Linked DNA regions of Tribolium castaneum. The protein of the gene in region 1 interacts with the protein of each later gene in a pairwise test. Links are inferred from orthologs where the notes say so. Each region holds a gene or a part of one and is shown on either strand. Other genes may lie near its edges.

Region 1 (4,317 bases):
CACAATATAAATAAACTTTAAGTAAATTTTTGACGAATCTGCGAGTATTGATGAGCAAGACGTAGTAAATTTTGAACAAAAAATATTTTTTTCCAAGAAATAGTTCATTGTATTGTACCAATTAATAAATAATATTTTTTTTAGTTTGTAAACTAGCCAAACCTATGGCTATTTTAGCAGAAATGACAATTTACTAAAATAGCGCCTAGTTTATAAATTTTCAAAAGTATTCTCTAGATAATACTAAATTTACAAACTAGTCAAGTTTAGGTACACATTAGCCGTAACATATACATTATTTTTCTATGAGGGCACCCCTATTAACACGACAAAAATCATGCCACCGTCAGTGTCCGCTTATAGGAGATTTCACTATATTTCAGTACTTTCAATTACCCAAAAATATTCAACCCTTTATTAATAAATTAAAAATTGTGCAGTGGTGGTTCTCGAAACAAACAAAGTGATTTAAATATGTGCAAAAATGTGCAGTTCGTCACGCCTATGTTAACACATGTTTTACTGTATTTTTAATTTGTTTTGGTGTTAATTGTTGGACATAAAACCGAGATGAAGTAAACTTACCTTAAATGATAAAATTTCTTGTTTTTATTAGTCCATCCGTTTTTTATCTAAAACATAAAAAGAATGAATAGTTGGAAGCAACGTTATATTGAATAAATTAGAATTAGAACGTTGTTACTAAGGGACAAGGGGCCCCCAGCCCGTACTAGTTGGGGGTTAAGACGTGACATAAGGAGGCAAGGGGTGAAATGTGACATGAGAAGGCAAGTGGTTTCAACTTTATCAATCAAGCCGACCACATGTGCATGTCCCAGTGGCGAAAACAAGCCTTTACAGGGGTATCACAGCGCGATAAGGCGCCGCAAAGCTATCAGTATCACTTACTTTGTTTATATAATGATCCTAAGGATTAATAACCATTAACCAAAATTATATCTTGAAGCCGTCAGTACGAAATTTGATTTTTCGTCTGCGGACATTCGGTCGGCCCACCATAATTTTCTAAAGTTTTTTACCACAATAACGTCCTCAAAACGCGAATATTCACCAAAATGTTCCCAATGTCTTCAGGGAGATTGACGCCATAACACAGACATGACAGTTCGCAGTAGTTCTGGAATCGTAGAAATTTGGAAAATCGAGCCAGGCGCTTACTCGGCGGCTACCATGACTGGTTGGGGGAAATGTCGCCCATTTGTGACGTCACGCGCCATACCACCGGCCCGGTCGGGCGAACCGGGCTTGCACCAACGCCGGTACACTTGCAGTTGCCTTATCTCACTTATCTTGTGTTTTTGTGGTAGTTATAAGACTCAGTGTTGCGATTTTTTGTTTTGTTTAAATATAGTTCGGTAGCTTTGGGTGAGTCCACGCAGAGCCGGGCTCAGCCGGTAGGACAGGACGCTGCATTCACCAGGTGCATGTCAGTGTCAGTGTGCTATAAAATGTGATTGTGTTTGTTTGGAGAAATGGCGGCCGTAATCTGACACAGGTAAACAGGTGATTTGTACAAAACACTCCTTCACCCAAAATTGCAGTAATGACGACTTCTTGATCGCCCGTTAACCAGCGCCAGAATGGAGAACGCAATAAACTTGAGCTCCCAGGCCCCGGAGTCGGACATGGAGTGCTCGGATAATGATAATGACTGTTTTGACGATGATGATTACTACAACATCGTCGACGACAGCGAGATCGAGCAAATTGATCCAAGCAAAACCGACCCGGAGAACTTCAAGTACGACTGCCTGGGCGAGGAACAAGTGGAGCGGCTACTTAACGAAACTGTTGAATGCCTCAGCTACAACCTCAAAATCACTCCTTCCCTAGCCAAAGTAAACCGCAGCCAGCGCGCTAAACTCTTTAACATTGGACTTATTTAAGGTTTTGTTGCTCAGCCACCAGTGGCGCGTCAACAAAATCATTGAAAAGTTCCGCAAGGACGCCTCCGAACTGCTCATCAGTTCGAGGATCAAGCCCCCAGTCACGCCCCCGAGTCTCTCCCTTTCCAGATACATCACGTGTCCAGTGTGTGTCGTTGTCCAACCGGCTGAGAAGTTTTTCAGCCTGTCGTGTTCTCACATGTTTTGTAAGGACTGTTGGGTCACCCATTTTGAAGTACAAATAAATCAGGTAGAGCTGACCGGACCTTTCGTATTTTGTACACAATCACCGATTCCCGACCGTTAGGGTCGGGGAGTAAACCATTCCAGCCTTTGGTCGGGAACCGATATGTGAATGTGGACAAAATACGGACCTAAATACTTGGATGCGACATGACGGAAAAAAAGTCCACATTTTCGTTAGTTTCTCTATCGACGCTAGATGGCGCTCTGTATTAAACCTGTTCAAACATTTTATCGAAAACTACATTTAAATGTTCTTTTTTTATCTATCTATCTATCTATCTTATACTGTAGTCGCAGCGTTTTATATAATATTTTTTTTCTCAACATAAGAATTTGATGCTCGAAGCCCCTTCATTTTTACTTCGTCGTGCTAAATGTTTGGGTACTTAGAAACATTATTTTGTATGTCGTTTCGCCTCCTAGTATTTAGATCTCCGTAATTCAAGACTAAAGGGAGGATTATATGAAAAGTACTTTTTTGTTAATATTTATTTTATTAATTGATGGCTTTAGTTCCAAACTTTTTCAGTATTTGGTCTTCATTTTTCAATAAAAAAAAACATTGATGGCACTTCTGATGCAATTTTTAAAAGTATTTTGTATTTTGCTTTCTCGCTTAATCGTACAAACTCCTTAATTACTAAGTAAAACAAAATGTTTAATTTCGAAAGCATATTAAATATAGAGTAATGTGTTTAAAAAAAAATTTTTTCGTTTTTTTCTTTGTTATACTTTAGATGAAGCTTTTTTAGAATTCTCTATTCATCGGATTATACCTTTATAAAAAAACTTGGCATTTAGTTTTTCATATATATAAGCAGTACAATTTCCAGAAAACTTTTACATATTTTGTGCAAAAACAACACTTTTTTATTTTTGATTTCATCAAATATCTGTACATTATGGTAACCCAACCACGTATTTAAATTTCGAAAAAATTGTTCTTTCAAAGACGAGAGGTTTTTCCCGTTTTCTGAAAAATTAATACACTTGTAGGATGTACAGGGTGATGCATTTTGGATGCCGGAATAGGGTATTTCAGTGCTTGGTTAGAATTTTCGGTAACTAACCGATAATAAGTCTTAGCCAAGTTTTTAATTTTGAATGCGTATTTCAGTGCTTTAATAGAATTTGGGTTAAATTCCCAGCTTTTTGGCATCAGCGCGTGCGTAATTGATGTTTATTATCTTAACCCAATTACGTATTCACATTTCAAAAAAATGTTCCTTAAAAGACGATTGGTTTTTCGTTTTCTTAAAAATTAACCGCTTTAGTAGAAATTGGTTTAAAATAGGAGCTTTTAGGATTGATTTGATATCTTCACCATTTTTTCTAACTATTCCTTAAAGTACAATAAACATCTACAGCATTCATGTTCCAAATGACCGGCAAAAATAAGTCGCAGGAAGTTGCAAAATTGCATGATATTTCGAGAAAACATTAGGATAAAAAAATAAGGACACTGGGCATTAATATGACCTGAAAAACCCTGAAAAAAGTTGGTAGCCAGACAAATTTCTTTCGGTTAAGATTTTAACCTCGGTTAAATCATAACCAAGCACTAAAATACGTCAAACCAGGAATTAAATTGGTAACCAAAATATTTTGGTTTAACCATCGAATGAAATACCGGGCGTAAGAGAGGTTTAGAGAAAAACAAGTGCCACTTTTTGGAACTCATGTTCTGAGAACATAATTTTGGCCAATGCTGCTTCTATATTTTGTTTTTGACTTATAATTCGTTTAAACTATAAGTTTGTAAACCAAAGGTTAAATTTTGATGAAATCTTCAAAATTCGTATTTTCCTTATTATAGAAAATGCACATCATAACAAAACATTATGCAGGCACTTAAAAAAAATAATGTTGACAACGATTTTTTAACCATTCGTTTAGCTGTGATAACAGTTGTATTTTTTGCATTTTAGAAATAAATTCTTCAATTGCTTATTTAATATATGAATTTGTACAATGCTTATTTATTATTTTTTAGTAGAAGTTTTTAAATTGTTTCAAAAAAATTTCATATAGACCTCCCTGTGGCTCAATTTAACCTAGTTTAACTAACAAATTTTGTCCTTCAGGGAATATCAACGGCTATAAGTTGTATGGCCCGCGATTGTGTAGTGTTGGCACCTGAAGACTTCGTTTTGAAGCACTTGTC
Region 2 (2,834 bases), on another chromosome or scaffold:
GCGACTACAAGCGAGTCCTGATACGAATAAATAAACGTGTTTTATTCACACAGTTATTTCCCCCAAACCTCGTCCGGTGTTACATAACCTCACTTTTTGCAATTCCCTTGAAACTATCATAATTGGGTCACAACTCAACAAAATCGCACTTTAATAATTACAAATGAGTAGAGAGGCCCGCATTGGAAAAATAAGCACACCGTTTGGTTGAATTAACCCATTTTTGTGGCCTAACCTCAAAAAACATTTCAAGTGTTTAAAACTGGGCATTTGAATTATAATTGGGCAAAAGATGACTTTGGCGCCGCAATTAATTGATGTGTGCCGATTGTACTTAACTAGAACTAGTTTTGGTGTGTTTGGCCCAACTTTGGGCAACCTAACCTCACAAAAACCAAGCGTTTTATTTAGCAATTGTGGGCGTTTGGTACGATTTGGCGTCCAAATTAGGCCAGAAAGCAACGTAACGATCGTGTTTTTGGGGATTTGTGGTGATTTTGGGGCCGTAACCCCACAAAAAAAATGGGGGCTCAAGTTGGATGAAAGTACTTCTTTATTGATTATGTTACATAAGCGAATTAAATAATCTATCCCACGATTTAGTCCACTCACTTAAAAATAAAATAAAGGGCCCCCTCGAGCGTGGTAGAAAAAAAATTCGTAAAATCACAGTTGGTGTAATCGCCCCACTAGTCCGTCGGTCTCTTTTCGCTGTGTTTCTTCGTGAACTCCTCGGCGTTTTTGGTGAACTTCTTCTTGTCTTTGATGTATTCCTCGGCCAGATCGGCCCTGAGGGGGTGCTCGGGCTCGGGCTCGTTGACCAGCGCCACCAGGGCTTGGATCACTTGATCGGTTTTGGTGGCCGGCTTCCAGTTCTCAGCGCTGATGATCGGGAGGCACACTTGCCCCTTTTCGTCGATGTTCGGGTGGTAGATTTTCGTCTTGAAGGTGATTTTGGGGGGCTTGAAGGGGTACTCGGCCGGAAAGTTGATCTCTATCTTAAACGCGCCCTTGTTGTACGGGGGGTTGTCCTAAAACCGCGCCGTGAGCTGGGGGCGAAGCCTCGCACACTTACCGGAACTATGAGCCCCTGCCATGTCAAAATGTTCGTCTCGTCGACCTGAATGTCCCGGAACGACTTCAGCCCGGAGTTCCGGATGTCCCCCAACTCCTAGCAAAAATACAGAATGAGCCCGGAATCTCGCCCGGAAAATACCCACTTTTTGCAGTCTTCGCGTGGCCGCCATGTCGCGGATTTAGTCCAAAACGACCGGAAACGTAATAATATCAAAAAAAGCACTTGAATTGTTGGGAAAAAGCAATTTTTAATCACCCATTACACACTGAAATTTGACAGGTGAGGTGGGGTGACAGTCAAGTGTGCACGCACACCGCCAAATTCCCTAGGAACTTAACCTCGAAAATGCACTTTTTCGGGGTTTATCTGCTCTATTGCACCAACCCCAAGTACAAGGGGCGCGTCTACATCGGCTACACGGTGGACCCCAACCGCCGCATCAAGCAGCACAACCGCGGGAAGCAACACGGTGGCGCCTGGAAGACCAGTCAAAAGGGGCCCTGGTAGGTACAAAACGCCACACACCGGCCCTGTATAACACTTTCAGGTCGATGGTTTTGATAATTCACGGCTTTCCGAACAATATCTCGGCTCTAAGAGTAAAAATCGGACGTTGATTTGGTTTCAAATCTAGGGTTTTTTTGTTCTAGTTTGAGTGGGCGTGGCAACACCCGCACGTTTCGCGCCGTTTGGCGCACGTTTCGAAAAAAAATACCAAAGAAAAAGTTTACGATTTTACGATTAGGGTTTTAAGCGAAATGTTGCAAGTGGGGCCTTGGAAAAGGCTCCCGCTGACGATTCGCTGGCTCAATGATGAATTCAGACGCGATCTAGAGGTAAAAATTGCCAAAAATTTGTAAAAACTTGTCGTTTTTTTTTTTGTAGAAAAAGCCACCGGACCATATGCCAATTTGTTACGGCCCAGTTATTAGTAAAAAAATCCCAAGTGTTGTCACACTATCGCACGAAACGAATTTTTGTTATTTGTGTAATGATGAGGTTTTTAATGGAATGAAGTGTTTGAATTTTGAGTGCGATTTAAACGCTCATGTTATTTGTTTGTCCAAGTGTTTTCTCAAAGGGGGCGACTACGTGCCGGTGGAGGGGCGGTGCCCCAAGTGTTGCCAACCCTGTCTTTGGGGGGATTTAGTCCGCAGGTTTAAGGGCTACCACAACCAGGACGTGGAAATCACCAACTTAGGGGATTGTGAATAAATTGCTCAATTCTAATTTAAATTATACCGACTTTTACCACGATTACAAAGTTGGCAACACTGGCAAACGTGCCGTTAATGGCCATTTCATTACAACTTATTATTATTATTATTATTACAAATATATATTTTGGTGATTTTTTTTGTTTTTTTTTCCTAGACCCACTTGACAAGACGACATGATTAATTGTTTGTACAAAAAGAAAAATGTTGAATAAATTTGTAATTTTTGCAAAAAATTGTTTTATTTTAATAAATTGTCGGCATTTATTTATGCATTTTGTGGATGAATGTGGTGACAGAGGTCGCAGGCTGGGTCAGAGCACTGACAGACATATTATAAATGGAAGGAAACGCTCGCGTTTGCGTTTCATCACCTCTGAATTATTTTTACTGCTACCATATGTGAATAAGTTGGGAGTTTTTCATTAAAACCGGCGAGAAATTTCCGTTTTTCGTCTTCTTCCGGCAAATAATCAAACGGAGGAAAAAGTTCAAAACGATTTTATTTCACTTTTTGATTAATGAGATTATTTCCACCA

The links.
Region 2: the proteins of ari-2 (region 1) and Ubc10 interact in a two-hybrid assay, tested with the Drosophila melanogaster proteins (2 studies listed by BioGRID). The link is inferred for Tribolium castaneum from reciprocal best matches to the Drosophila melanogaster genes ari-2 and Ubc10.

The regions. Positions count from the first base shown.
Region 1 is NC_087403.1:8,301,132-8,305,448, forward strand, and holds the start of ari-2 (potential E3 ubiquitin-protein ligase ariadne-2), read left to right. Parts: upstream 1-1,365; 5' UTR 1,366-1,516; intron 1,517-1,562; 5' UTR 1,563-1,601; coding exon 1,602-1,859; intron 1,860-1,908; coding exon 1,909-2,157; intron 2,158-4,237; coding exon 4,238-4,317.
Region 2 is NC_087401.1:17,188,680-17,191,513, reverse strand, and holds Ubc10 (ubiquitin-conjugating enzyme E2 L3), read right to left. Parts: upstream 1,363-2,834; 5' UTR 1,248-1,362; coding exon 1,221-1,247; intron 1,172-1,220; coding exon 1,076-1,171; intron 1,032-1,075; coding exon 690-1,031; 3' UTR 536-689; downstream 1-535. Other genes in the region: structure-specific endonuclease subunit slx1, read left to right, coding at 1,424-1,581, 1,626-1,677, 1,729-1,914, 1,964-2,293.